Anolis sagrei: one gene and its partners. The protein of the gene in region 1 interacts with the protein of each later gene in a biochemical or structural test. Links are inferred from orthologs where the notes say so. Each region holds a gene or a part of one and is shown on either strand. Other genes may lie near its edges.

Region 1 (8,428 bases):
TATCTAAAGGGAATTAGATCAATGGATATGATGTTCATAGGTAGTCATTGTAAAGTGTTTGTTGATAGATATGAGTATGTTAATGTATGTTCTGGATGGTAATGTTCATATGTGCATGTCAATGTAGGCATGTGCTATGTTAATGCGTTTGCTTCATTTAGTTTTGTAGTATGTTGCAGTGGCTAATTAGATAGCTGCTTATAGTTTAATGGTTTTAATCCACAGTTATATGCTATGTTTAGATATGTGACATATTTTACATATATGTGAACCATGGAATTTTGCCATTATGTTGTAAACCACTTTGAGTTCCCTCAGGGGTGAGAAAAGAAGTACAGAAATGCAATAAATAAATACATAAATAATAAGTTGTTAGTTTAGCAATAAATATTGTAAAAATCTGCTTATTTTTATTATTTCTGCTCTTTTACTATGTTTTATTTATTTCTGAATAGAAATTAGTTTAAAGAAAGAATTACAGCAGTTTGACGCAACTTGAACGGCCATTGCACAAGACTATAGAATTCTGGGGATTTGTATTTTTCTGGGATATTTAGCTTTTTCTGTCTGGTACCAAAACAAACTACAAATCCTAGATGTCTATAGCACTGAGCTACAGCAATTAAAGTAGTGTCACACTGCTATCATTCCTTAGATTTCCAACATTTTGTCCTCCAGATGTTTTGGATTTCAGCTCCCAGAACCCCTGGCAATTGAGCAAGCTGGCTGTGGCTTCCTGGTTTCAAACATTTAACAGGATCTAAGGGCTGGAATGCTGCTGCATCCATTCCATTTCTCTCCTATGTTGGAAATTATTTTCCCTCCCCCAATAGTTTCTTGTTCAAAGCTTTGATCTCAAGGAAAATCAAGAAAAGGTGAATGCTGGCAATTTCTGCAAGCAAACTGCTTACTAAGATACACGTGAGAAATAAAATTATTATTATTATTATTATTATTATTATTATATTTTGAATTAATGCAGTTCCATATAACTTTACTTGCCATGGCTCAATGCTATGGAATCCTGGGAATTATAGTTTTATGATTAATCAGTGCAATGAATGTGACGATCACAGGAATTGAAATATGGACGATGAATTTTGGATCACGGCTCTAGTTATGAGACACATTTGGTTGTTGCTGTTGTGTAATATTGTGTATTGTGCTCTTTTGTTCTGAATTGTAGATTGTTGACTGTTTTTATCCTGTTGTAAACCGCGTTGAGTCGCCGGCTAGGCTGAGAAACGGCGGTATACAAATAAAGTAAATAAATAAATAAATAAATATAGGTATTCATAGCCTTCTCTGCCAAAGAGTGTTGGTTTCTCACCAAAGTACAGCCGTGTCCTAATCTATATAAATAAAAATGACTAAACGACTCCGGCCCAGTTTACCTGTCTGAACGGATTCTCCCCTAGGAACCATCAAGGCTATTAAGATCTTTCGGGGGACCCTGCTCTCGGTCCCACCACCCTCGCAATCATGGTTGGTGGGGACGAGGGACAGGGCCTTCTCAGTGGTGGCTCCCCGGCTTTGGAACTCCCTCCCACTTGAGAGTAGATCTGCTCCCTCCCTCCTGACTTTCAGGAAACTACTAAAGACCTGGTTCTGGAATGTGGCGTTCGAGGACTGAAGCTATAACCTCCATCCACAAGGAAGGAGGATGATGAACTGTGACTGTATTGACGACTTGGCTTGGGTAATGTGATGATGATGTTTTTATTGTACTTTTTAATCTGTAATGATGATGCACTGTGTTGTTTTTGTATATTATTGTATTTGAACACATGTTGTGAACCGGCCTGAGTCCCTCGTTCGAGGTGAGAATACCGGTATATAAAACTTCTAAATAAAATACAAGGTGCAGGTTATCACCTATAAAGCTCTAAATGGTTCAGGACCTGCCTATCTGCTTGACCACCTCCTCCCTTACGAGCCCATGTGGTCCTTAAGATCTTCCGGGGATCCCCTTCTCTCGCTCCCACCCCCGTCTCAGCCATGGCTGATGGGGATGAGAGAGAGGGCCTTCTCGGTGGTGGCCCTCCATCTCTGGAACTTCCTACCCAGGGATATTAGGCTGGCACCCTCCCTAGCCACATTCTGTAAGGAATTAAAGATGTGGATGTTTTGTCGTGCTTTCGACTGATGACTTTTATGACAAATGACCTGTATCATGACTTATCATTCAATCTGATGTCCTATATAATATTAACTGATCCTGTTAATTTACTCGGTTTTCATGATATTTCCTATGCCATTACTAAACCACTTTATCCTTTAGCTAGTTCACGAAGTGATGAACTGTGACTATGATTATGACTGGATTGACGACTTGGCTTAGGTAATTGTGATGATGATGTTTTTATTGTATTTTATTGTACTATTTTAATACGTAACGACGTTGCACTTTGTTGTACTTATATATTATTGTACTTGCATATATGCTGTAAACCGACCTGAGTCCCTCGTTGAGGTGAGAAGGCCGGTATAGAAAACTTCTAAATAAATAATGTTCATTTGTGGGATTAAGAGACCTCAAAAACCACTGGACAAATTGACATCAAATTTGGACACAAGACACCTAACAACCCAATGTATGCCCTTCACTCAAAAAGATTGATTTTGTTATTTGGGAGTTGTAGTTGCTGGGATTTATACTTCACCTACAATCAAAGAGCATTCTGAACCCCACCAATGATGGAATTGAACCAAACTTGGCACACAGTTCTTCCATGACCAACAGAAAATACTCTTTTATATATAATTAGCATAACACAGGAGACAAGAGGGAACTGTCTTCCTGGCCCCTTTCTCTTCATTTCCCTTTAAAAAGGAACTTCTGCAAACTTGGCAGGAAGCTGGATCTCCTGAATGTGAGCCCAGTGACGTCACGCGCCTCCCTCCCCTTTCTCTTCCCATTCATTTCTCAAACTCCGGCAGGACAAAGCCTAGCTCCGCCCCCAGCCCTGCTCCCAGCCAATCCCGTAGAAGGGAAGGCGGGCCCAGAGTGGCCGTCTACTCATTGGCCGCCCCTCCTGTCAATCTTACCTCAGCCCCGCCCCTCGCTCGTCTTCTCTTCACCGGCAACCGGCTTTCTTTGCGAAGAGGCGGCTGAGGAAAAATGCTCGCAAGAGGGAACCCCAGAAGGCTTCGACGGCTCCGGCAGGGCTTCCGTCTCCGTTTATGCCCGTTAAGCGGCCGTTTCGGCGTCCCTGCTGCCTTGCTCCTTCACCGGCCGGGCGAAGGTGGAATGCGCATGCGCGAAGCTGTGCTCGCGCTCGAGCCCATGTTGCGCATGCGCGGCTCGAAGGCGGGGGGGCGAGTTGGGCGTGTGTGAGAAGAGCTGTAGTGCGCATGCGGAAAATATGGAATCCCCACCTTAGAGGAAGCCTTCAGACTCTGCGCTTGCGCAGTTCGTCTCCTTGAGTCTAAGCTAGGAAAAGGCGCGCGCGCCCCCTTGTGGCCGGAGCTCCAACCATTGGGAATTTTATAGATCTCTATATATTGAAATGATAATATGATAGATAATAATGGAACATTGTAGGAATAGATATGATTTCCATTATGACACAAGCAAAAAGTCAGAATTGTACAAAATATATTGTATTCATACATATATTTAGGTATCTATAAATATATGTGAAACTATATATGTATATATAATATATACATAAATTATAATCCCCATTTTATATATATAATGGGGATTATAATATATGTATATATTATATATACATATATACAGTTGTGTATGTGTATATATATATATATATATATATATATATAAACATACATACACATTGATCCAGGTTTTTTGAATAATTATACTTGCATGTATGTAATATGTATTTGTATGTATGGGATACATAAAGTAAATTGGATATAGTAAATGCATTTATTCCTGTACATCTTATACACACGGTCTGAAAATAATTGCAAATGCAATATATTTTCATAATCCTGTGCATGACATAAACCTCTTGTACATTGAACTGCCTGAAAGCAAAAGTGCCAGTGAAATGTGTGATTTTAATAATCGATGTAATTGTTTAGATGTTTTAATTCTTTCATTTTTAATGTAAATATTTATTTCATTGTATATTGTTTTTATGGCATTGAATTGTTGCCAATGTGTAAGGCTACCCTGAGTCCCCCTCGGGGTTAAGAAGGATGGGGTATAAAAGTGGCAAATAAATAAATCTATATAAATAAAAATGTTATGTTCGTTTGTGGGATTAACAGAACTCAAAAACCAGTGGACGAATTGACACCCAATGTATGTCCTTCTCTCTAAAAAAAATTATTTTTTCATTTGGGAGTTGTAGTTGCTGGGATTTATAGTTCACCTACAATCAGAGAACATCCTGAACTCCACTAACGATGGAATTGAACCAAACTTGGCACACAGTTCTCCCATGACCAACATAAAATACTGGAAGGGTTTCCTGGGCAGTGTCCTTTGGTTTTGGAGTTGTAGTTCACCTACATCCAGAGATCACTGTGGACTCAAACAATGTTGGGTCTGGACCAAACTCTACATGAATACTCAATATGCCAATACAATCACAGAGCATTCTGACCCCCATCAACGATAGAATTGGGCCAAACCTCCCACACCGAACCCCCATGTGGGCTACAGCAACGCGTGGCATGGGACAGCTAGTATTATAATAAAATGTAATCAGAGCCCTCCTGACAAAGAGCCATCCAGCCATAGATATAGATAAGATAGATAGATAGATATGATTCACACACACACAGATATAGTATCCTAGATTTGAAAAGGACCCCTAAAGAAGGACTATGATATGTTGCATGTTCCAGAGTAGGCAAACCAGACACTCTCCACATCAACACTGACAAAGAAAGAGCAAGAAGTACTGTTTACCCACAAGCAGAAAGACATTACATATATTAGAAAACCAACACTTTCTCATTACTTTATATTCCAGATCACCAGACTGGGCCACAGCAATGCGTGGCAGGGAACAACTAGTAATATAATATATTGTATGTATATATATCTTGTAAGCTGCTCTGAGTCCCCCTTATTAAATATATTTATTTATATTCTGCTTTCTCTCCCCAAAGGGCAATTCCTATATTATTATTTTATTTATACCCTGCTTTCTCTCCCCAAAGGGCATTTCCTATATTACTACTACTACTACTACTATAATATTTATTCATGCTTTATCTCCCCAAAGGGGTCTTAATATTATTATTGTATTATAATTATTATATGATAATTATATATATTCATAACCTGCTTTCTCTCCCCAAAGGGAACTTCCATTATATTATTATTATTCATTTATACTCTGCTTTATCTCGCCAAAGGGCACTTCCTATATTATTATTATGCCCGAAAAAGGCACTTCCATTATATTAGTAGTAGTATATTCATTTATACTCTTCATTATCTCCCTAAAGGGCACTTCCTATATTATTATTATCATATTATTATATTTATTTATACCCTGATTTCTCCCCCGAAAAGGTACTTCCATTATATTATTAGTAGTAGTATATTCATTTACACTCTGCATTATCTCCCAAAGGGCACTTCCTATATTATTATAATTATTATATTATAATTATTATATTTATTTATACCCTAATTTCTCTCCCCAAAAGGCACTTCCATTATATTATTATTAGTATATTCATTTATACTCTGCTTTATCTCCCCAAAGAGCACTTCCTATATTATTATTATCATATTATTATATTTATTTATACCCTGATTTCTCTCCCCAAAAGGCACTTCCATTATATTATTACTATTATATTCATTTATGTTCTGTTTTATCTCTCCAAAGGGCACTTCCTATATATTATTATAAATGTTATTATTATTATCATATTTATTTATACCCTGATTTCTCTCCCCAAAAGGCACTTCCATTATATTATTACTATTATATTCATTTATGTTCTGTTTTATCTCTCCAAAGGGCACTTCCTATATTATTATAATTGTTATTATTATTATTATTATCATCATATTATTATTATTATATTTATGTATACCTTGATTTCTCTCCCCAAAAGGCACTTCCATTATATTATTGTTAGTAGTATATTCATTTATAATCTGCATTATCTCCCCAAAGGGCACTTCCTATATATTATTATAAATGTTATTATTATTATCATATTATATTTATTTATACCCTGATTTCTTTCCCCAAAAGGCACTTCCATTATATTATTACTATTATATTCATTTATGTTCTGTTTTATCTCTCCAAAGGGCACTTCCTATATTATTATAATTGTTATTATTATTATTATTATCATCATATTATTATTATTATATTTATGTATACCTTGATTTCTCTCCCCAAAAGGCACTTCCATTATATTATTGTTAGTAGTATATTCATTTATAATCTGCATTATCTCCCCAAAGGGCACTTCCTATATATTATTATAAATGTTATTATTATTATCATATTATATTTATTTATACCCTGATTTCTTTCCCCAAAAGGCACTTCCATTATATTATTACTATTATATTCATTTATGTTCTGTTTTATCTCTCCAAAGGGCACTTCCTATATTATTATAATTGTCATTATTATTATCATATTATAATATTTATTTATACTCTGATTTCTCTCCCCAAAAGGCACTTCCATTATATTATTATTAGTATATTCATTTATACTCTGCTTTATCTCCCCAAAGGGCACTTCCTATATTATAATAATAATAATAATAATAATAATTATCATATTATTATATTTATTTATAACCTGATTTCTCTCCCCAAAAGGCACTTCCATTATATTATTATTATTAGTAGTATATTCATTTATACTCTTCATTATCTCCCCAAAGGGCACTTCCTATATTATTATTATTATCATCATATTATTATATTTATTTATACCCTGATTTCTTTCCCCAAAAGGTACTTCCATTATATTATTACTATTATACTCATTTATACTCTGCTTTATCTCCCCAGTGGGCACTTTCTATATTATTATTATTATTATTTATTTTTATATTATTACTATTATATTATTTTATACTCTGCTTTATCTCCTCAATTGGCACTTCCTATATTATTATGTTTATGATGATGATTATATATTCATCCCCTGCATTATCTCCCCAAAGGGCACTTCCTATATATATATATATATATATATTATATTCCTATATTATTGTTTATTTACACCCTGCTTTATCTCCCCAAAGGGCACTCCACAAGCAGCCATTTAACTATTATAAACACAAGCCTTGAGTGTACATTTGAAATATATTAAACACCAGCCTTGAGTGTTCATTCATTCAATCCAGCAATACATCTAAAGGAGTCGATAGGAATCCAGGAAAGCTGTGGTGTAAACAAAACGCCCACTCCTCTTGGAACCAGCCGCACTCTACTTCACTGTTTCCCCTCGCCTCTCCCTTTCTCTTTCAGGATTGGCCACGCAGCACGTTGCTTATTGGCTCCCTCCGCGCTATGCTTTCTGGGATTTGTCGTTTCCTCTTAAAGCACCGCGAAGGCTTGTCTCTGGCTCTTCCTCGGCCTCAGGACTACATTACCCAACAGCCTTTGCGTTTTGTTTTAGCTGCAAACAGAAAGAGGCGGTGTCCTCATTTGAATACTTTTCCCCGCCCACTTGGCTCCCTCGTTCTGACCAATCAGGTGCATGTAATCAGGGCGGGCGCACCGTGATTGGCCAGTTTGGAACTGAGGCAGAAATTTGAAATTATTTAACGTTGGAGAGAGGAGGAGGAAGGAACTCCAGAGGAGCTGGCTTCGGTTGGAGGTAAGAAATGCGGCCTTTTTGTATTATATCTCATTTGGCTTGGATTGAATATATCTTTTTATGTATCTATAGAGAGAGATGTATATATTATACACACACAAAAAATAAATAATAATTAATCTGCACTTTATATTATATTTTTATATTATATAATGTATAATGTATAATATATATTGTATAACAAATTTAAGTATCTATAAATATATCTATCTATATGTGTATATAGAGAGATGTGTATCTATAGAGAGAAATTTATATATTTCTCTATAGACACACAAAAAATAAATGATAATAAAACTGCATTTTATATTATATTTTTATATTATATAATGTATAATATATATTGTATAACAAATTTAAGTATCTATAAATATATCTATCTATATGTTTTGATGGATTCATTTCAATTGGTTCAATCCGAGGATGTGGACAAGGTGCTTGGAGGAATGAGAGCTACCACATGCATCCTAGACCCCTGCCCATCCTGGCTTCTGAAGGAGGCCAGAGGGGGATTGGCTGAGTGGGTGAAGGTGGTGGTTAATGCCTCCCTCCGGGAGGGCAAAATTCCAGCCAGCTTAAAGCAAGCTGTGATAAAACCATCACTGGACCCCACTCAATTCGTCAACTATCGGCCT
Region 2 (8,060 bases), on another chromosome or scaffold:
AAAGCACTGTAAGTTAAGCAGAAGCAATCTCCAGCCATCCTTTTCCTTGACCAATACTTCAGTGTTGCCAACAGTAATACGGATTAGTGGCTCAGCTACGCTGTACAACTAGAGTAGCCTCTAGGCCAGACTTGCACTATTTGAAATGCATTCAAAGCACCACAAAATTCTATAAGAGCTCTCAGGAAGGCAGCAAAGAGGCTTTTAGGACAATCCTGTTGAGATCAGTCTTTCATTACACTGGAGATTTTTAATGTTTTATAGATCACTTCTTACCACTATCACTGCCAATGTATTTGCTTTTCTGGTGAGTTCCAGTCCTGCCAGAAAATTCTTGGGAATCCCTGTCTTTGGCCCTCTGTGCCTCAGCACATTAGCACTTGAGTAAAATTCACCAATGTGGCCTTTATCCTGATATGCTAAGAATGCATCCAGGACATTAAGTAGTTGATGTGATCTCTAGATGCTCTGACTTCCTTTCTGTGCTTTGTAAACAAATGTAGCTTTATTTGAAATGTCATCTTTGTCTTGTGAAAGGTGGGGATGATTTGTCGTGTTGTTACGCAGATACATATCACCCCTGCCTCATGGCTATTTTATTCAAAGCCCTTTTTACTACTACTACTACTACTCAAGGTAAACTGCATACATTCTGTTCAGAGCAATGGCTGTTGAGCATCTTAACCAGCAGCATTGCAATCTACTGGGAAATGTTCCTATTTATAGTGCCAGTAAAATGAATAGAGTGATTATTCAGAATACTTCCCACTCATTTCATTACAGCAAATGAAGGATTTCTGTTGGATCATCAGGACTTTTAGCTGGCACTAAATCACAGTTGAATGTTTCTGTAACCTATTATTAGATGATATTTATAGAATATTTTTATTGAATTGTTGGCTTTATTCTTACAGAAATCTCTATTCTCTCAAAGTAAAAGCACTGAGATTCAAAATTAGGGAATTATATTGCAATCCATTCAGTGATGCAGACTTCAATAAGATATGTGTTTGATGTGAACACTGCATGTTGCTCTCTGGAATGTTTCTTGCTAAATAATGCATTGAATCTTCAGTTGGAATTTGGTTATAACCATTTAGCATTACTTTGCTCTGTACACAGGTTAAAGGCAATATTGATAATCTGAAATTCAAATGATTGAGTGGAATTAATGTGGGGAAACAGCATGGCCAGAAACTGAAAAAGTAATCATGCAAGGATTTCAGTAGAAAAGTCATGTTTTGTGTATTAACATTTACGATGCTCTCACACGAATACAGCTGGCAGTACACTGGTCACTAAATGCACCAAAATAGTGTTCTTGATTATTTTTGTATACTGTAAATGAAGCTGTATCCTCGTATTGTACACCAGTTTTCTTTGCTTAATAAAGCCTTACATGACAGGGAGTATAGAATTTGGTCTCTTGAGTCCTTTGTGTATATATACGTACATATATACGTACATATACGTACATAGGAAATCGATCCATACTCATGCCTGGACTGCTTTTCAGAATTTCTGCCAAAGTCAATTTCTTTTTGAAAGACAGTACTGTGTACAACACATATTATGTGAACATGTAACACGTGAATCAGGAGAAGCTAAACACAGTAAAACAAAAAAGGGAATAAATAATATTACAAGAATCTCTAAATGCTAATACCCACTGCTTAACTCATAGCTTTGTTGAGAACAGGTTGAAAACTGCTTCCAAAAACTGCAGAAACTATTGATGGCAAATGTGTCAATGGATCAGCAGTCCTGACAGCACATCAGAAACATGGATGTGGACAAAATGGTTTGTTGCTGTTGTAAATGTTTAGCCCACAAATGGAAAGAAAGCAACCCACAAAGCAGCAGGTGTTGCTAAGACTGGGATGCAATTAAGGAGGAGGTGTTGTTAATCAGCACCTTCAAGACTTTCATCAGAAAGAACTCTGCAGTGGCAGCAGTTGCAGAAGATTCATAACAGAAGGTCTTGCTGACAGTGTTTGCCTGCCTTGATTTTTAAAGCAGTGACAAAAGTGACATATGTTGCTCGATTTCAAGCATATTTCTGAACAATACTTTTTTTGGCAGTCTTATATTTGGCAGGAAACACCATAATTGCCTTTGTGTCTTGTCATTTCACTAATATATCTCAAATATTTGTCAGAACGCTGGACACATCAAGAGCTTACATAAATCCATTCTGGGGGTGGGTGGGAATTAAAATAGAAAGTACATGTCAATATGTATGACTACAAATTTTCTAAACTGCAATCCTATTGTGGCCGATAGGATAGAGAATACCAAGAGTGATCCTTTGTGGAGGCAGAGAAGTAGTTTTATTTTCAGCTGAGCGCCTGGTGTGGAATTTCCCCCCCAAAAGCAAACCAAAGTGAAGATAAAGGTGTTGACTTTCCCTTTTTTACATCTTCAAATACAGGCAAACAAAGAAACATGCTCCTACGTACGTTAACATAATCACTATGTCACTTTAGCATCATAGAAATATCTTTCTACAGCAGCTTACAATAAGTTAGAGATACTAGGATTCGGCTACAGATCAATCAAGGGGCCTATTTTTTACCTGACAGGAGAGATGGAGAGAGTATGGCCCGTACCACCTCTAACTTGAGCCTTGTACACAAATCTCCTTCAGCATCCTTTTGTCCTGTCGGCTTTCCAATACAGAGAATCTGATTTTTCTACATTTCAGTACTTCTAATGTGCATACAATATATTTGTCAATGCCTATATATTGCAATATCTCCACATCACTACGTATTTCTTCCATAGTTAGGTCCTAATGAGTTTGGAGAATATATTTGGAGCATAGATGCTGCTAGTAGTGCTGGAATGTTCAATGTTTCTGTTCAGTTATGTTAGGCGAAATGCACTGGCAACTCAAATCTCTAAAGCAGGCAAGGGCAAACTTTGGCCCTCCAGGTGTTTTGGACTGCAACTCCCACAATTCCTAACAGCCGGTAGGCTGTTAGGAATTGTGGGAGTTGCAGCCCAAAACACCCGGAGGGCCAAAGTTTGCCCTTGCCTGCTCTAAAGTATCATCAAACACATCTACACTGTCAAATTAAAGCAGTTTGATCCCACTTTAACTGCCATGGCTTAATACTATAGAATCCTGGGAGCTGTAGCTTTAGGTCTTTTGCCTTCTCTGCCAAAGAGTGCTGAGGCCTCACCAAACTACAACTCCCATGATTACTTAGCATTGAGCCATGGTGGTTAAAGTGGATTCAATTCACATTATTTCTATATTTATTTATTTACGACATTTATATGCCGCCCTTCTCACCCTGAAGGGGACTCAGAGTGGCTTACTATACACACACACACACACATATACTAGCTGTCCCCTGGAAAATAAAGGAACGAGAAAGTGTTGGTTTCTAATATATGTAATTTCTTTATGCTTGTGAGTAAACAGTATTTCTTGCTGTTTCTTTGTCAGTGTTGATGTGGAGAGTGTCTGGTTTGCCCACCCTGGAACATGCAACATATCATTGTCCTTCTTTAAGAGTTCCTTTCAAATCTATGATACTGTATCTGTCTGTGTGATTCATCTCTCTCTCTGGCTGGATGGTTCTTTGTCAGGAGGGCTTTGATTACATTTTCTTGCCCTGATGAAGGGAGTTGGATAGGGTGGCCTTAAGCATTTTCTGTTGGCCGTGTGTGGGAAGTTTGCCCCAATTCTGTCGTTCGTGGGGTTCAGAATGCTCATTGATTGTAGGTGAACTGTGAATTCCAGTGACTACAACTCCCAAATGTCAAGTTCTATTTCCCCCAAACTCCACCAGTATTCATATTTGGGCATATTGAGTGCTTGTGCCAAGTTTGGTCCAGATCCATCATTGTTTGAGTCTACAGTGCTCTCTGGATGTAGGTGAACTATAACTCCCAAACTCAAGGTCAATGCCCACCAAACCCTTCCAATATTTTCTGTTGGTCATGGGAGTTTTTTGTGCCAAGTTTAGTTCAATTCCATCATTGGTGGAGTTCAGAATGCTCTTTTGATTGTAGGTGAACTATAAATCCTAGCAACAACAACTCCCAAATGACAAAATCATATTTTTTTTTGAGTGATGGTCACTCCTTGTGTTGTGAGACGTTTTGTTGCCATATTTGGTGTGATTTCGTTCATTGGTTCTTTTGTTTTTAAGGTACTCATTATGCACAGAGCATTTATATATATATAGATATTATTAGCATAGTACAATATCAGTATTATATATTACTATATTGCATTTTGCCATTACATTGTAATATTATTATATTATTATTAGTATTATATTGTATTACATTATAATATTATAAACATTATATGTATAGACAATATATTATCTATAGTGTAGATGCAGCCCAAGACTTCTAAAAGACTTCTGGTTTGGGCTCATGAAGACTTCTGGAGAATTAAAAAACTTGCATTTTTTGTAAATGTATAGACTTAAAAGTGTTACCAAAATCGAGGATATCCTGCTGAGCAAAACATTCCTAACTAATGAAGTGCCTGTCACTTTAAGAACGAGTCCTCCAATCAGCTTCGCCTCTAGGCGTTGTCCCCGCCCCTTTCGCGAAAAAAACATCCCTGAGGCGCTTCCTCCCAGGCTGTCACTTTAACAAATCAGTCATCCAATCAGCTTCGCCGCTAGGTATTGTCCCCGCCCACATTCCAGGGCCTACATTCCGACCCGCCTTTTTTTCCCTCTTACTTAATCCCTTACGCGATTGGTTGACATCTCAGTGACGTCATGCCAAGCGGGTTAGAAAGCGGGCGTTGAGTTTGGTTGCTCGGGAGGTTTTCCCGCGCAGGAGAGAACGAAAGTCCACATCCGGGTACCTTTGGAGTGAGTGAGTGAGTGAGGGAGGGGCGAAGGAATGCCGAAGCGCTCCTGCCCGTTCGGGGACTCGGCCCCGGCGCAGCTGAAGACCCGCGTGAGGCTGAAGGAGCTGAGCCAAGGCGTCCTGGGCGAGCAGTACCAGCGAGCCATCTTCGGTAAGGGCAGCAGAGCTTCTTAGCGGCTTCACGAGGGCGGCACTGTTGCGCATGCGCTTCTTGGAGGCTTCACGATGTTGCGCATGAGCAAAGGGAGTGGTTTTTTTTCCCCCCTCTCAGCGAAACTTTGGTCAAGCCTTGTTTTTCCCAGTCTCGCGAGACTTGAGCCTTTTCTCTCTGATACTTTGTCAGATAGGGTTTTTCCAAATGGGCTTATCAGTGGTTCTCAACCTGTGGGTCCACAGGTGTTTTTGCCTACAACTCCCAGAAATCCCAGTCAGTTTCTCAGCTGTTAGCATTTCTGGGAGTTGAAGGCCAAAACCTGGGGACCACAGGTTGAGAACCACTGGCTTAGTTAGTTAGAAGGGGAAGACCCAATTTAGTTGCCATGGCAACATCCTGATTAGGCCTCTGAGGATGCTAAAGGCCTTTCCAGGCTGCACAGGTGTTTGGGACTTCAACTCATTGGCCATTGGTGGCTTTGAGAAAAAACTGGATTTGTTTAGTTATGTTATTTTATTTATATCCCGCTTTATCTCTCTGTACAGAGACTCAACGCAGCTCACAATTAAAAAAACATTACAACTTAAAATATTCAAATATACAATAATAAAACAGTGTATCATTATATATTATCAGGAGTAATCATATTTAATATGTTAATATTATTATATTAAAGGTAAAGGTTTTTGACTCTGGGGATTGGTGCTCCTCTCCACCCAGCCTCTGCCAACCTAGCAGTTCAAAATGTGACTAGATCAATATGTACTGCTCCAGCAGGAAGGTAACGGCGCTCCATGCTGGCCACATGACCTTGGAGGTGTCTACGGACAACGCTGGCTCTTCAGCATAGAAATTGAGATGAGCACCAACTCTCAGAGTCGGACATGACGAGTAAATGTCAGGGGATAACCTTTACCTTTACCTTATATACATATTGATAATCATATTTTTAGTCCTCCATGTGTTTTGGACTTCAACTTCAGCTCCCTCCCCATCATGATATTTTAATATTTAAACATGGTTCTCATGTCACCTCTTAATCTTTGCTTCTTCAAGCTGAATATGCCCAGCCCTTTAAGACACTCCTCACAGGGCTTGGCTTCCAGACTACTGACAATTTGGGTCGGCCTTCTCCAGCTGGTCAATATATCTTTCTTGAACTGTGGTGCTCAGAAATTGACACAGTACTCCAAGTAGAATGCTGAAACTTTCTTACTGGCTACACAGGATTGTTATGACTTCATGCAGGCTTGCTACCAAGAAAATGCTAAATTCATTGTTGTTACTCTATGGCAGGCATGAGCAAACTTGGGCCCTCCAGGTGTTTGGACTTCAACTCTCAGAATTCCTAACAGCCAGTAGGCTGTTAGGAATTCTGGGAGTTGAAATCCAAAACACCTGGAGGGCCCAAGTTTGCCCATGCCTGCCATGGATGTTAATTCAGACCACCATCCATGACATTCTCACCTCTACTTTTCGTCCCTTGTTTTGCAGAAAAAACAAAACAGCTTCTCTTCCGAGGTGCCCAAACGTATATGGAGAATCCGTGCATTGGGAGCACAGCAGGAGAATGTCTAAAAGCAGAGTTACCAGAACCACTTGCAGACAGGCCGGACGCATGTTCGCAGCATAAATGCAACGGACAAATGTTAATTGGACACGATGGGAAACTTCGGCAGCCTAGTGCAAGAGAAGCAGGTGACTTGAGTTACGCCAGCTGTTCAGTTTCCTGAAAGGGAATTCCAGCTTTTGCACTGTCCTCGGAAACCTATCTACATAGATAAAGGGTAGTCATGCATGTGAACGTCCCTTCCTGATTTCTGGCCAGTATTTATCACCAAACCATTTTGATTCACATGGTCTGATGGACAGCTTCTTTTATAGATAACTTGAGTACTGCAATTTGCTTTCTAAATGAAGTACTTTTCTAAAGCAACCCTTCTTGCTGAAATCTGTTCTGATGTTGAATCTCTCTGTGTTTGTGCACAGCTCTGCCTATAGGAGGGTCTAAGGCCTGCTCCTCGTGTGTGAGAACAGTGGACACCAACAGAGCTTGTGCCCAGTGCCATCGGTACATATGTCAGCATTGCAGCAAAGTTTGCAGCTCTTGTAATGCTGTTGCTTGCTTCTTATGTTCAGTCGTAGAGTAAGTGTTTACAACTTGAGCTTCCTTTAGTTTTATTGAACATCGGAAAATATTTCGCAGTTGCTATTTGCGACATTTTCATTTGCAATTCTTGTATGGTAAGAACTTGCTGTATATACTCAAGTATAAGCCTAGTTTTTCAGTCCCTTTTTTAGGCTGAAAAAGCTCCCCTCGGCTTATACTCGAGTCAAGGTTATTTATTATTTTAGTCATTAGTATTTTTATTACATGTATTATTTTACTCTATTATTCTATTTCTTATTTTGCTGTATTATTATTATTATTATTATTATTACTATTACATTTGCAGTATTTTACCCTATTATTATTATTATTATTACATTTACAATATTTTACCCTATTATTATTTTATTACATTTATTATTTTACTCTATTATTACTGTTTTTATTGCGTTTTCATTATTTTACTCTATTATTTTTATTACATTTATTATTTTAATAATGAGTTCATTTACATTGAAGAAGGTGAGAATAATGGTTTGATCAGAGTTGGACAGTTTTATCTTAAATTACAGTTTTATGTAAATATTCAAAAATATTTAGCCTATTGATGTAATTTTGTTTAATGTAATTAATGTAATTTTATTGGTTATCTCTCTTTATTTTGAAATTGACCCATAACGGCTGCATTTCTCACCTTCGGCTTATACTCGAGTCAATACGTTTTCTCAGTTTTTTGTGGTAAAATTAGGTGCTTTGGCTTATATTCAAGTCGGCTTATACTCGAGTATATACAGTAATTTCTGGTTCAGTGCAGTGTATATATTCTCCCCCTTCTCATTTATTACATATCGCCTGCTTTTCATAACAAATCAGAAAGATGCTTATACAGTGTCATTGCGAAGCACGGAATTAAACTATTGAAACTATAATGATGTTGTCTGTCCAGATAGC
Region 3 (8,054 bases), on another chromosome or scaffold:
GAAACAAGTGACACAGGTTTTGATTTTGCTTCATTCTAACAGTATACACTTTGAGAGTTTGGAAAAAATGGGGCACATGCACTTTGCACTTTTTACAAAAGGCAGGTGGAGTAGCTCTGCTCTAACAAGGCCAAGTGGCCTTTGGTAGACGCCTGTGGTGGTAGGACCAGTCCACTCCGGTTACAACAGCTGCAGCAGAGAACAAGTTAGACCTGTTACAGGGCAGTAGTGGGACCAGTATGACTCTCTTTAAACAGAAAGTGATCCCCTCCAGTCAAACTATTTTTGGGGCATGTAAGTAGAAGGGGACCTTTGGAGAGGAGGGTGGCCCAACTGCAGCTCATGGGCGGTACCATTCCCAGGTCAGGAAATAACTCAATGCTTCTCCTAAGTGAAATAATCCTCTTCCTGGTGATTGACCTCTTCTCTACTCTGAGAGGTGTGCCTTTTTGCCTTGCTTTGCTGCTCCATGGCTTACCAATAGGTGACTTTCAGCCTCCAGTAAATTAAATTCATAATGAATTTTCATTAACCACTGCATAGTTAAAACATACATATCTTCTCCTGCTAGTCTAGTGCATTAAGCAGACTGGAATATGTCCAAATTGCATGTATTAAAAGTGTCCCCTGTTCACTACTGTGAAGCTCTTTGCTACAATGCCTTGGGCTTGGTTCACCAGGACATGGGAACCTCAGTGGGTGAATCTACATTGTAAAATGAATGTAGTTTGACTAGGAGCAAAGCTAAAAGAATGTAATGTACAGGTGGTCTTTTCATCCCTCCTCCCTGTTGTAAGACACGGACCCACAAGAGCCAGAAAAATAGTACAGGTCAATGACTGGCTTAGAAAATGGTGTCAGGAGGAACGCTTTGGCTTCCTCGACCATGGCCTGCTTTTCCAGGAGGATGGCCTACTGGCAAGGGATGGGGTGCATCTCACACAAGTAGGAAAACACCTTTTTGCTCACAGACTCGCAAACCTCATTAGACGCACTTTAAACTAGGTCCACCGGGGGAGGGGGACAACAGCCTTGCGAACACTACTTTACCCATAATGTCTGGGAATCACCAGAAGGCTAAACGGAGGGCTGCACAAACACAACAAGGACCAAGTACCAAAAGCACAATAATCCCAATTAAACAGCTCAAGGGAAGATCTCAGGGGCTCACATGTCTTTACACTAATGCACAGAGCATGGGAAATAAACAAGACGAACTCCAACCTTTAGGACAACACCACAAATATGATATCATAGGGATCACTGAAACCTGGTGGGATGACTCCTATCGCTGGAATGTAGATATCGAGGGGTATAACCTCTTTCACAGAAACCGAACAAAGGGGAGAGGAGGCGGAGTAGCCTTATATGTCAAAAACTCTTATGCTGCAGAAGAGATTCAAGACAGCAATCTGGGAAACCAGCTTGAAATCATCTGGATAAGAATCAAGGGAACTGGGACTCAAAAAGATGTCGTTGTAGGCGTCTACTACAGACCCCCAAGCCAGGAGGAAGAACTTGATGAAGTCTTCTGCCAACAGTTGACCAAACAGGCACAGAGAAGAGATGTAGTAGTCATGGGCGATTTCAACTATCCCGATATTTGCTGGAAAACAAACTTGGCCAAGAGTACAAGGTCCAACAAATTCCTCGCTTGCCTTGCAGAAAATTTCATGGTCCAGAAGGTAGAAGAGGCAACAAGGGGATTGGCTACTCTTGATCTCATCCTAACAAATGCGGAGAACCTGATCAATGCGGTCGAAGTGGTAGGATCCTTAGGGGCAAGTGACCATGTGCTCCTGCAATTTGAGGTACAAAGGAAGGCCGAAACTAAGACAAGACAAACCCGCATTTTGGACTTCAGGAGAGCTGATTTCCAAAAAATGAAGGAAACGCTGAGCAGCATTCCGTGGACACAGATACTAAAAAACAAGGGAGTTACGGATGGATGGGAATTTCTCAAGAGTGAAATACTCAAGGCGCAATTGCAAACCGTGCCAACAAAGAGAAAAAATAGGACAAGTGCAAAGAAGCCAGAATGGATGTCCAAAGAACTTCTAACTGTGCTAAGACACAAAAGAGACATGCACAAGAAGTGGGAAAAGGGAGAAATCACCAAAGAAGAATTCAAACAAATAGCCAACACCTGTAGGGAAAAGGTCCGCAAGGCTAAAGCAAAAAACGAGCTCAGACTTGCCAGGGACATTAAAAACAATAAAAAGGGCTTCTATTCTTATGTCAGTAGAAAAAGGAAAAACAAGGAGGCGATAGGACCTCTTCGAGGAGAAGATGGGGCAATGCTGACAGGGGATAGGGAAAAGGCAGAACTACTTAATGCCTTCTTTGCCTCGGTCTTCTCACAAAAAGAGAGTCTTCAACCTCAGCAAGATGGAGTGGATGAGGGATTGGAGGACATCCAACCCCAAATTGGGAAAGAAGTCGTCCAGGAATACCTGGCCGCTCTTAATGAGTTCAAGTCCCCAGGGCCAGATCAACTACACCCCAGAGTATTGAAGGAACTAGCGGAAGTCATTTTGGAACCATTGGCAACCATCTTTGAGAGTTCTTGGAGAACGGGAGAAGTTCCAGCAGATTGGAGGAGGGCCAATGTGGTCCCAATCTTCAAGAAGGGAAAAAAGGATGACCCAAACAACTACCGTCCGGTCAGCCTCACGTCGATACCGGGCAAGCTTCTGGAAAAGATTGTTAAGGAAGTGGTCTGCAAACACTTAGAAACAAATGCAGTCATTGCTAATAGTCAACATGGATTTATCAAAAACAAGTCATGCCAGACTAATCTGATCTCTTTCTTCGATAGAGCTACAATCTGGGTAGATGCGGGGAATGCCGTGGATGTAGCGTACCTGGATTTCAGTAAGGCCTTCGACAAGGTCCCCCATGACCTTCTGGCAAGGAAACTAGTCCAATGTGGGCTAGGCAAAACTACGGTGAGGTGGATCTGTAATTGGTTAAGTGGACGAACACAGAGAGTGCTCACTAATGCTTCCTCTTCATCTTGGAAAGAAGTGACAAGTGGAGTGCCGCAGGGTTCCGTCCTGGGCCCGGTCCTGTTCAACATCTTTATTAATGACTTAGATGAAGGGCTAGAAGGCATGATCATCAAGTTTGCAGACGACACCAAATTGGGAGGGATAGCCAATACTCCAGAGGACAGGAGCAGAATTCAAAACAATCTTGACAGATTAGAGAGATGGGTCAAAACTAACAAAATGAAGTTCAACAGTGACAAATGCAAGATACTCCACTTTGGCAGAAAAAATGAAATGCAAACATACAGAATGGGGGACAATGCCTGGCTCGAGAGCAGTACGTGTGAAAAAGATCTTGGAGTCCTCGTGGACAACAAGTTAAACATGAGCCAACAATGTGATGTGGCGGCAAAAAAAGCCAATAGGATTTTGGCTTGCATCAATAGGAGCATAGTGTCTAGATCTAAGGAAGTAATGCTACCCCTCTATTCTGCTTTGGTTAGACCACATCTGGAATATTGTGTCCAATTCTGGGCACCACAATTTAAGAGAGATATTGACAAGCTGGAATGTGTCCAGAGGAGGGTGACTAAAATGATCAAGGGTCTGGAGAACAAGCCCTATGAGGAGCGGCTTAGGGAACTGGGCATGTTTAGCCTGAAGAAGAGAAGGCTGAGAGGAGATATGATAGCCATGTATAAATATGTGAGAGGAAGCCACAGGGAGGAGGGAGCAAGCTTGTTTTCTGCTTCCCTGGAGACTAGGATGCGGAACAATGGCTTCAAACTACAAGAGAGGAGATTCCATCTGAACATGAGGAAGAACTTCCTGACTGTGAGAGCCGTTCAGCAGTGGAACTCTCTGCCCCGGAGTGTGGTGGAGGCTCCTTCTTTGGAAGCTTTTAAGCAGAGGCTGGATGGCCATTTGTCAGGGGTGATTTGAATGCAATATTCCTGCTTCTTGGCAGGGGGTTGGACTGGATGGCCCATGAGGTCTCTTCCAACTCTTTGATTCTATGATTCTATGATTCTATTTTAACTGTCATGGCTAAATGCTGTGGAATCCTGGGAGTTCTAGTTTTACCAGGTTCATTAGCCTTTTCTGCTCCCTCACCAAACTATCACTCCCATAATTCTATAGCCTTGAGCCGTTGCAGTTAAAATTGTATCCAACTGCATTCATTCTACAGTAGCTGCAGATGGATACAATAATTATGCTGCCTCCTGACTTTCAGAAAGATGGTAAAATCTTGGCTTTGGAACTTAGCATTCTCAGATTGATGATGGAATCAATAACTGTTGACTACAAGGCGGATGGGATGAATTTGTGATTTACCTTGACGAATCAGCTTTATGTAATTCTTGATCTGTATTTTAATGTGTTTTGATGTATCAATGTACTATGATGTTATTATGCTTTAGTTTATTTGCATATTGATTCTCTGTTGTTAGCCGGCCTGAGTCCCTCCTCGGAGGTCGAGAAGACCGGGTTATAAAAGCTCTAAATAATAATAATCATAATCACAATCATAATAAATAATAATAAATAATAATAATTTGCAAAGGCCTGCTCAGAAATATACAACAACAGCTGTGCCTGGATAGAGGTGTAGTGCAGTGCACGGGGGGAATGTATGCCTAGTGGATACTACGCCTTGGAAGGATGCCTGTGTAGACTCGCTCTTCCTGATGCAACTATTTGCACAGCAAGACTGGTTTGAAACTGTATTAGTCAGCCAGTGTAGCCGAGGCCTAAAAGAGTTCTTCCACCATCCTTTTGTACTCCAACTCCCAGAACCCTGGGCATTCAGGGAGGATGCATCGCCCCAAGAAGCCGAGCTGTGGACCCGTGGTTCGCTCGCAGCACCACGCAGGCGCACGGTCTCGCGCTGCCTCGCCTGCCCGCCTGCCGCAGCCTCCAGTGCCAGCCCCCTGGCTCTTCTTGGGGCGCGTGAAACGCTCAACGGGAGGCAGGCCCTGGGATTGGCCGAGCCGCTTCCGAAGCCCCGCCCCCTCGGCAGGAGCCAGCCGGGCGAGGCGGCGAGGCAGGCAGGCAGGCGGGAGCGGGCGCCGCAGTCACGTCTCGCAGCCGCGCGGGGAGGGTTCCGCGATGCTGGCCTCGGCGCAGGACAGGCCCACCTCGTTCCGCCTCTCCTCCTCCTCCTCCCCCTCGGCCCCTTCCCCCTCCCCTTCGCCCCTCTCCGCCGCCTCCTCGCCAGCTGTCACTCCGCAGAAGCCCTGCTGCAGCCACGGAAAGGAGCCCGGCGGAGCGGTAAGCTGAGCCCACGCTGCGTCGCGGTAGAGGAGATCCAGTAGAGAAGCAAAAGGGAGGGAGAGAGGGGTGGAGGAGGCTTGGAGCCAGGCGCTGAGGCCTGGGCGAGGAGCCATCGCCTTGCCCTCCAAGCCCTGACCTTTGGCGCTGTGCTCTCCCCCTTGCCAGGCCTTCCCTTTCTTCCCAAGGAGGCCGCCTTGGCCTGAGCGCCAACCCCACCCGCGGGCGCCTCTTTCTGGAAGCGCTGTCCACCCAATCCTCCCTGCCTCCTCCTCCTCCTCCTCCTCGGCATCCTTCCCCGGGCGGCGCCTCGGCCTTCCCTCCCAGGATCGGGGCCTGGCGGGCCATTGGGCGGCTATTTTAAGCCGCGCCATCTGCTCTCCCTCGAGAAGAGAGTGGGATTTGGACAGGGCTCCTTTCCGTCCGGCGCCTCCGCCAAAGGCAGCGCTGCGTGACCTTCCGGGAGGCAAAGCACGCCTCGCACGAGTCGGAGAGAAGGCCCACGGCTCTTCTTTGAAGGCTCGCCTCGCCCGGATCGCGTTGCTTCCCACGTTTCCGGGTCCCCTTTCGGCCTCCGTCGCCTCTTCCTCTCATTCTCCCTCTGCCCCCCCCCCCCGGGCCGCCCTCTAAACGCCCTTCATGCCCTTGGAGCTGCGGGAAGGAGGTCTGCCGCTTCCTCCTCTCCTCAGGGATGCTTCCTGCAGAGAAGAGGAAGCTCCGAGGCTTTCTCTCCCAGATGCCTCCCGCACTGGCTTCCAGTGGACTAGTAAGAGAGAGAGAGGGCTGCAGGCCTTCGGAGCTATCAGGAGGCAAACATGAGACCGGACTCTCTAGTAAAGTTCAAAAAGCACTTTTAGTGGTTTTTAAAAAATTAATTTCCGTGGAAGAGAGTTAAAGAGTTAAAACTCAGTCGATTTGCTGGATTTTTAAAAAGTGCTTCCCTTGGGAACAATGTGTACCCTCAAGACACTTCCAATTTTATCACCAGGTTGTCTTGGGAAGATTTATACAGAAGGGTTTGAACTTCACTCTCCTCTGAGAATGTGTGGCCAAAGTCATCCAGTGGGTTTCCATGACTGAGCAGGGGCTTCAATCCTGATCTCCAGAGTCATGGGGTACATCTACATTATTGAATTAATCTAGTTTGACACCTGCTATGGTTCAGTGCTATGGAATTGTGAGGGTTGTAGCTTTACAAGGTCTTCATCCTCCATTGCCTTCAAAACACTTTCAACCTATCACCAGGGTTTCTTCGGAAGATTTGTACAGAAGGGAGTCAGCTTTGCCTTCTTCTGAGGTTGAGAGTGTGTGACTTGCCCAAAGTCATCCAATGGATTTCCATGACTGATCAGGGGCTTCAGTCTTGGTCTCCAGAGTCATGGGCTGCATCTGCTTTGTAGAATTAATGTAGTTTGACGCCTATGATTCTGTGCTATGGAATTGTGAGAGTTGTAGCTTTACAAGGTCTTCATCCTTTTCTGCCAAAGAGTACTGATGCTTCACCAAATTACAAATCCCATGATCCCTTGGCATTGAGATATAGCTGTTAAGGTGGTGTCAAACTACTATAATTCAACAATGTAGATGCATCTGTAGTCCAACATGCAAACCATGTAACTGGGTCATAGTTGCAAACATTAAATATGATATTAAAACAAAATGGAGAAAGCTTCTTCAGTATTCATTAGGCATGGTTAAGAGAAAACTAAGTACCTTCAAATTTGACTGGATGTAATGTGAAAGACCTTTTTATCAATGTTACACAAAATGATTTGATGATACCTCAGATTATTTGGCACTGCCTTTAGGACTCTTCCAATGTGACCTGCTTTACAGTTGATTTGTGTGAAGCAAGCAATTAGGGTTGGATTTATTTGTTGCCCTGGGCTGAAAGCTACTGTCATTCATAAACAGTAGATTTACTGCAGCTGACAGAGTTTTAACATTTTTTGGATGTTCATACATTTCTTTTTCTAGCCTTCAAGTTGAGGTGTCATTCTCTGTTCTCTCTTTTTAGTCCTGGGCTTCTTCCAGAATTCTATTGCAGCAAAATTCTCTCATTCAGCCATGTTGTGCAGATGTAGATTTGTTGGGATTAACCTCCCAGTTGTTGTGCTTAGGACAGCATAGCAATCTCGGTTTGATTCATTATTCAGTGAGCCAACTAAGATTCTTAGAAGTAATGACAGAGGGGTACTCTTAAAGAGTTGCTTAATATAATTTAAAAGTCGATGGTGATGTTGCAACATGTTATTTGTCATGTCATGACAGGAAGTGTTATGGGAGTGAATATTTCAAGAATAAAACCCTATTCCTGGTAGTTCTGATTCCCCTGTTCTCTCCCGTATCCCCTTTTCATCTCTGGTGGTACAATGGGTTAAAGCCTTGTGCCAACAGGACTGCTGACCGAAAGGTCGGTGGTTTGAATCCGGGGAGCATCTCTCAGTTCCAGCTTCTCATGCAGGGACAGGCCTATCACAGGATGTTAAAATATCCAGGCATACCCTAGGCCTGTGATGGGCAACCTTTTGAGCTTGGTGTGTCAAAATTTGCTAAAAACCTGAGCATAACTTGGGTGGGGTGTCAACTTCGAGGGAACCCCCCCCCCCAATAATATTGCAATATTTATAGTTTAAATAAGAAAAATGTATATTCCATGCTGAGTTATGCAGTGAACAATACTCAAATGTGCAGATGCTAAATTTGTAGAGCCTTTTACAAATTTAAGGATGGAATTAGATTGGCTCTTATAAGGTGTACTTCTCTGTATGCGGCCGCATGTGGCCGTGTGTC
Region 4 (7,389 bases), on another chromosome or scaffold:
TGTTGTGAGATCTACCTGGGAATTCCTACCTAAAGAAATAGGGAGGATGAATAAGTGACAAGGGGGGGGGGGGGGAGGCACGCGGAATGAGGCCAGCATTTGGGGAAGAGTGTCTGGGACCTGAGTTTGTTTTCCCCTGCAACCCTTTCCTTCGCACCTGGACTCAAAACAGCCTTACAGTAGTAGATGGCAGTAGCTCCCCTCCGTTAACTCCTGCAGCCCAATTTTAGGGCTGCATCAGAAGGAGTCAAGTGTCATTGTCCCGCCACTCTCTTTCTGAGTTAGTCAGACCTCACCTGGAATAAGAACCCTGTGTCCAGTCCTGGGCAAAGCAACTCCAGAAGGAGATTGATAAATCTCCTCTGGGCTTTTTGAAACGGGGGCTGGATGGGCATCTGCCGGGAGTGCTTGGATTGTGCATCCTTGCCTGGCACAAAGGGGTTGGACTGCATGGCTCTTCTAACTCTAATGGAAAACGGACTGCCTAGAGGTCCAGAGGAGTCTCCTTCTCTGGAGGTTTTGAAACGAGCTGGATGGGCATCTGTCAGGAGTGCTTCGATTGTGCATCCCTGCCTGGCACAAAGCGGTTGGACTGCATGGCCCTTCTAACTCTAATGTAAAAAGGGACGGAACTGGACTGCCTGGGGATCCAGAGGAGTCTCCTTCTCTGGAGGTTTTGAAGCGGTCTGGATGGCCATCTGTCGGGCGTGCTTGGATTGTGTATTCCTGCCTGGCAGAATGGGGTTGGACTGCATGGCTCTTCTAACTAATAAAACATGGACTGCCTGGGGGTCCATGTTTTGGAGGAGTCCCCTTCCTTGGAGGTTTTAAAGTAGAGGCTGGATGGGCATCCATCAGGAATGCTTTGCTTGGGTACTCCTATGTGGCAGAATGGGGTTGGACTGGGTGGCTCTTGAGAGGTCCCTTTCAAGGAGTGGAATCCACTGCCACAGAAGAGCCTCCTTCCCTGGCAGCTTTGGAAACCGAGGCCATATGTCGGGAAGGTTTAGGTTGTGCTTTCCCCTGGGAGAATGGGGTTGGACTGGATGGCATTTGGGGGTCCTTTCCAACTCTAAGATGCCTTTCCACTGATGATGTTTGACTTGGACTAGAAGCAGAGCCAGGGGCAGATCTGTGTTGCACTGTCAGGTCTGCATGGGGCAATACACGCTTCTGACAGGACCCCTAAATACCATCCAGTCAGTCATGCAGCGGGGCACCAGCAAAACATTCCTGACAGAGGGCCATGCATCCTCTGTCTGGAAATCTCCACAGAGGGCTCTATCAATCCCAGACAGAGGCTAACTTAGGCCTTCCCTCCAGGTGTTTTGGACTTCAACTCCCACAATCCCTAACAGCTTCAGGCCCCTTCCTTTCCCCCCTCAGCTGCTTAACTGGCTAAGGGCCTGAGGGTGTTAGGGAGTGTGGGAGCTGAAGTCCAAAGTACCTGGAGGGAGAGCTAAAGTTGGCCCCTGCCTGAGCCATCCCCTTTCTACATGTTGAGTTTCAGTTGAGTTGGAACAGACCTCCAAGGACTATCCAGTCCAACCCCTCTTTAATTGGGGAAGGCACAATCAAATCATTCCCGACAGATGGCCACACTGCCACTGCTTGGGAATGCCACTATGTATCTATCCCCTTTCTAGTTCTGAATTTCACTCGAGTTGGAAGAGACCCCCTAGAGCCATTCTGTCCAACCTCACTTTAATTTGGGAAGACACAGTCAAATCATTTCCGACAGATGGCCACTCTGCCTTTTCTTGGGAACTTCCCGAAAAGGCTCTATATATGTTTCTATTCCCTTTCTAGGCGTTCTGTATTTCACTGGAGTTGGAAGAGACCCCCAAGAGCCATCCAGTCCAAACCCGCTTAAATTGGGAAGGTACAATGAAATCATTCCCGACAGATGGCCGCACTGCCTCTGCTTGGGAATGCCCTGAGAGGGCTCTTTCTATGTATCTATCCCCTTTCTAGTTCTGAATTTCACTCGAGTTGGAAGAGACTCCCAAGAGCCGCCCAGTCCAACCCAGCTTTCAACTGGGAAGGAACAATCAAATCATTCCCAACAGATTGCCATGCTGCCACTGCTTGGGAATGTATCTATCCCCTTTCTAGTTCTGAATTTCACTCGAGTTGGAAGAGACTCCCAAGAGCCGCCCAGTCCAACCCAGCTTTAAATTGGGAAGGCACAGTCAAATCATTCCCGACAGATGGCCACGCTGCCTTTGCTTGGGAACCTCCCGAGAGGGCTCTCTTTATGTATCTATCTATCCCCTTTCGATGCGTTCTCGACTTCCCTGGAGTTGGGAGAGAGGCCAGGAGCGAGAACCGGAGGGCCCCAGCGAAGCCCTCCCGACAGAGAGCCCGCCTTCCCGCCCGGGGTGCGTGGGTGCGTGGTCCCGGCTCACCTGCGGCCTCAAGGGCGCTACATGCTCCGGCGGCGGCTGAGCCAGGCCCAGGCCACGAGCAGGAGGACCGGGATGGCCAGGCCGGTGCCCGAGGCCCGCCGCCGCCACCCCGTCTCCGCCTCCGCATGCTGGCCCTCGACGCGCGCATGCAGCTCATCCCCGATGGCCTTCAGCCGCGCCGCCGTCACCGTCAGCGAGCGCTCCCTCATGCTGGGCGCCCTCGGAGGGCCAGCAGCAGGGCTGGGCACCGCGCACGGGCACATGGCCGGGCAGTCGGGCGAGGCGCGCATCAGGAAGAGCACGGCGAGGAGCAGGAGCGCGGGCACGAGGAGGAAGACGAGCACCGCCACCGTACCTGCGCCTCTTTCCGCTGCCGCGGGCCGAGTAGCGCTGAGCAGGACGCGCTCCTGAACCTATGCTCAGCCAGCCAGGTTAGGCGCCGCCCCCCGCCACAAGGAGGAGGAGCTCCAGAGAGAGAGAAGGGGGGGGGGCTTAACCCCTTCGGAGCCCCAGAGAGAGATCCGGAGCGAGAGAAACAGGCAGGCAGAGAGATAGGGAACCAGAGGGGATGGAGAGATCAATCGGCAGATAAACAAGCAGGTAGGAGGGATAGACAGGTAGGGAACTAGGCGGATAGGCAGATCAGATAGACAGCTAGATAGACAGATAAATAGGGAGCTCGATTTTTGTTTTGTTTTTTTGTTTCGTGTCAGGAGCAACTTGAGAAGCTGCAAGTTGCTTCTGGTGTGAGAGAATTGGCTGCCTGCAAGGACGTTGCCCAGGGGACGCCCGGATAGGTAGGTAATTGGATGGGCAGATAGATAGACAGATAGATAGGCAGATAAATAGGCAGATAGATGGATGACTAAGTAAATCAACAGATAAACAGGCAGATAGGATGGATAGAAAGATAGGTAACTAGATGGATAGGCAGATTAGATAGATAGATAGATAGATAGACAGACAGACAGACAGATAAATAGGGAGATAGAGTTTTGTTTTGTGTCAGGAGCGACTTGAGAAACTGCAAGTTGCTTCTGGTGTGAGAGTTGACCATATGCAAGGACGTTGGATAGGTAGATAGATAGATAGATAGATAAAGAGATAGGCAGATAAATAGGCAGCTAGATGGATGACTAAATAAATCAACAGATAAACAGGCAGATAGGATGGATAGAAAGATAGGTAACTAGATGGATAGGCAGATTAGATAGATAGATAGATTGATCGATCGATAGATAGATAGACAGATAAATAGGGAGATAGAGTTTTGTTTTGTGTCAGGAGCAACTTGAGAAGCTGCAAGTCGCTTCTGGTGTGAGCGAATTGGCCGCCTGCAAGGACGTTGCCCAGGGGATGTCCAGATAGGTAGGTAACTGGATGGTCAGATAGATAGAGAGATAGATAGATAGATAGATAGATAGGCAGATAAATAAAGAGAAAGGCAGTTAAATAGGGAGATAGATTGATGACTACATAAATCAACAGATAAACAGGCAGACAGGATGGATAGACAGATAGGTAACTAGATGGATAGACATATTAGACAGACAGACAGATAGACAGATAAATAGGGAGATAGAGTTTTGTTTTGTGTCAGGAGTGACTTGAGAAACTGCAAGTTGCTTCTGATGTGAGAGAATTGGCTGTCTGCAAGGATGTTGCCCAGGGGATGCCCGGATAGGTAGATAGGTAATTGGATGGACAGATAGATAGATAGATAGATAGATAGATAGATAGGCAGACAAATAGGCAGATAGATGGATGGCTAAATAAATCAACAGATAAACAGGCAGATAGGATGGATAGAAAGATAGGTAACTAGATGGATAGCCAGATTAGATAGATAGATAAACAGATAAATAGGGAGATAGAGTTTTGTTTTGTGTCGGGGTGACTTGAGAAACTGCAGGTTGCTTCTGATGTGAGAGAATTGGCTGTCTGCAAGGATGTTGCCCAGGGGATGCCCAGATAGGTAGATAGGTGGATGGGCAGATAGATAGACAGATAGATAGGCAGATAAATAGGCAGATAGATGGATGACTAAGTAAATCAACAGATAAACAGGCAGATAGGATGGATAGAAAGATAGGTTACTAGATGGATAGGCAGATTAGATAGATAGATAGATAGATAGATAGATAGACAGATAAATAGGGAGAACTTGAGAAATTTCAAGTTGCTTCTGGTGTGCGAGAATTGGCCGCCTACAAGAACGTTGCCCAGGTGACACCCGGATGTTTGATGTTTTATCATCCTTGTGAGAGGCTTCTCTTATGTCCCCGCATGGGGAGCTGGATCTGACAGAGGGAGCTCATCCACACTCTCCCTGGATTTGAACCTCCGACCTGTCGTCCTGCCGGCACAAGGGTTTAACCCATTGTGCCACCGGGGGCTCCTCAGGGAGACAGGCGGATAGGATGGATGGATGGATAGATAAATCAGCAAATAAACAGGCAGATAGAATGGATAGGTAGATAGGTAACTGAATGGATAAACCAATTAGGCAGATAAATAAAGAGATAGGCAGATAAAAAGGGAGATAGATGGATAGATAGATAAATCAACAGATAAACAGGCAGATAGGATTAATAGATAGATAGGTAACTGGATGGATAGACAGAGTAGGTAGATAGATAAGTAGATATGCAGATAAATAGGCAGATAAATCAACAGATAAACAGACAGATAGGATGTATGGGTAGATAGGTGGATAGACCAATTAGGTAGTTAGATAGGCAGATAGATAGTTAGATAGATAGATTGGCAGATAGATAGATAGATAGATAGATAGATAGATAGATAGATAGATAGATAGGCAGACAAGTAGGCAGATAAATAGACAGAAAGGATAGATGGATGGATGGATGGATTAATGGATATATAAATCAACAGATAAACAGGCAGATAGGATGGACAGATTAGGTAGGTAGATAGATAGGCAGATAAATAGGGAGATAAATAGGCAGATAGAATGGATGAATATATACATTGACAAATAAATAGGCAGATTGGATGGATAGACTGATTAGGTAGATAGGTAGATAGATAGATAGATAGATAGATAGGCAGATAAATAAAGAGATAGGCAGATAAATAGGGAGATAGATGGGCAGATAGGATAGATAGGATAGATAGATAGATAGATAGATAGATAGATAGATAGACAGATAAACAGATAAACAGACATATAGGATGGATAGACATAGGTACCTGGGTGAATAGACAGATTAGGTAGATAGATAGGCAGATAGGTAAATAGGCAGATAAAGAGATAGGCATATAAACAGGGAGATAAATAGGCAGATAGGATGGATGGATGGATAGACAGATAAATTGACAGATAAACAGGCAGATAGGATGGATAGACAGATAGGTAACTGAGCGGATAGACGGATTAGGTAGATAGGCAGATAAATAGGGAGATAAATAGGTAGATAAAATGGATAGGTAGATAGGTAATTGGATGGATAGACACAGATTAGATAGATAGATAGATAGATAGATAGACAGATAAATAGGGAGATAGAGATTTGTTTTGTGTCGGGGTAGGTCGGTCGTCGGGAGATAGGTAGATAGATAAATAGGCAGATTTGTGTGTGTGTGTGTGTGAGGAGCGATTTGAGAGACTGCAAGTTGCTTCTAGTGTGAGAGAATTGGCCATCTGCAAGGACATTGTCCAGGGGACGCCTGGATGTTTTGATGTTTTACTATCCTTGTGGGAGGATGATGAGCTGGAGCTGACAGAGAGAGCTCATCCGCGCTCTCCCCAGAATTGAACCTCCGACCTGTAGGTCTTCCATCTTGCCGACACAAAGGTTTAATCCATTGTGCCACCGGAGGCTCCTAGGCAGATAGAATGGATAGATAGATTAGATAGATAGAAAATAGATTAGAGGTCAATAGGCAGGATGGATAGATAGATAAATAGACAGGCAGATTACAGATAAATAGGCAGATAGGATAGATAAATAAATAGACAAATAGAGTGGATGGATGGATAGATAGATAGGCAGATTAGAGATAAATAGGCAGATAGTTAGGTAGATAGGACAGATAGCTAAATAGACAGATTAGAGATAATTACAATGGATGGATGGATGGATAGACTAGAGATAAATAAGCAGATAAAATGAATACATAGATAGTCAGATAGGCAGAAGCATAGGCAGATAGGATGGATAGATAGATAAATCAGATAGATAGAGATAGAGTAGGCACGTCAGTTGGGAGATAGGTAGATAAATATGCAGGCATGATGGACAGATAGGTATATAGGTAACTGGATGAATATACAGATTAGATAGATAGATAGATAGATAGATACTAATCATACTACTCTGTTGTAGCTGAACCTAAATGCTTAACTTCAATACAACCATCTTCTTCTCCAGTTCCCTTGCCTCCCTCTCGGTGCTCTCTGAGCATTCCCCCGTTTTCATCTTTAGTTCCCCTGTTGTTGCTTTTTGGCTTATTTTGATGCTTCCTCCCACTTCTGGACTTTTTTATCGTGTCAGAAGCGACTTGATAAATTTATTTATTTATTTATTTAATGTATTTCTACCCTGCCCTTCTCCCCCCAAAGAGGGACTCAGGGCGGCCTCACACAAGCACCATACGATGCTATCAATATGTAAAACAGTCCAACATGTAAAACTGCAAGTCACTTCTGGTGTGAGAGAATTGACCATCTTTTGGTCAGCAGTCCAGCAGCACAAGAATTTAACCCATTGTGCCACTGTGGCTCCCCCCCCCCCCCACTCTGGGATGCCCCCTCCTCACCAGTTGATGCCTCTCTTTGTCTTGGTGGCACTGACATTAGTGTGCATCTTATAATCATCAAAGGCTTTCATGGCCAGAATCTCTGGGTTGCTGTGAGTTTTCTGGGCTGTCTGGCCATGTTCCAGAAGCATTATCTCCTGACTTTTTCACCCACATATATGGCAGGCATCCTCAGAGGTTGTGAGGTTTGTTGGAAACT

What was found.
Region 2: the proteins of BCL2L1 (region 1) and SIVA1 form a complex in vitro, tested with the Homo sapiens proteins (2 studies listed by BioGRID and IntAct). The link is inferred for Anolis sagrei from reciprocal best matches to the Homo sapiens genes BCL2L1 and SIVA1.
Region 3: the proteins of BCL2L1 (region 1) and VDAC1 form a complex in vitro, tested with the Homo sapiens proteins (4 studies listed by BioGRID). The link is inferred for Anolis sagrei from reciprocal best matches to the Homo sapiens genes BCL2L1 and VDAC1.
Region 4: the proteins of BCL2L1 (region 1) and HRK interact in a biophysical measurement, tested with the Homo sapiens proteins (3 studies listed by BioGRID and IntAct, with this or other methods). The link is inferred for Anolis sagrei from reciprocal best matches to the Homo sapiens genes BCL2L1 and HRK.

Annotation. Positions count from the first base shown.
Region 1 is NC_090024.1:242,222,922-242,231,349, forward strand, and holds the start of BCL2L1 (bcl-2-like protein 1), read right to left. Parts: upstream 3,269-8,428; 5' UTR 3,049-3,268; intron 1-3,048. UniProt on the Homo sapiens protein: Potent inhibitor of cell death. Inhibits activation of caspases. Appears to regulate cell death by blocking the voltage-dependent anion channel (VDAC) by binding to it and preventing the release of the caspase activator, CYC1, from the mitochondrial membrane.
Region 2 is NC_090021.1:328,505,488-328,513,547, reverse strand, and holds the start of SIVA1 (apoptosis regulatory protein Siva), read left to right. Parts: upstream 1-4,687; 5' UTR 4,688-4,878; coding exon 4,879-4,996; intron 4,997-6,493; coding exon 6,494-6,697; intron 6,698-6,988; coding exon 6,989-7,145; intron 7,146-8,060. UniProt on the Homo sapiens protein: Induces CD27-mediated apoptosis. Inhibits BCL2L1 isoform Bcl-x(L) anti-apoptotic activity. Inhibits activation of NF-kappa-B and promotes T-cell receptor-mediated apoptosis.
Region 3 is NC_090022.1:92,315,750-92,323,803, forward strand, and holds the start of VDAC1 (non-selective voltage-gated ion channel VDAC1), read left to right. Parts: upstream 1-5,023; 5' UTR 5,024-5,099; coding exon 5,100-5,261; intron 5,262-8,054. UniProt on the Homo sapiens protein: Non-selective voltage-gated ion channel that mediates the transport of anions and cations through the mitochondrion outer membrane and plasma membrane.
Region 4 is NC_090034.1:42,693,691-42,701,079, forward strand, and holds the start of HRK (activator of apoptosis harakiri), read right to left. Parts: upstream 2,844-7,389; 5' UTR 2,699-2,843; coding exon 2,426-2,698; 3' UTR 2,409-2,425; intron 1-2,408. UniProt on the Homo sapiens protein: Promotes apoptosis.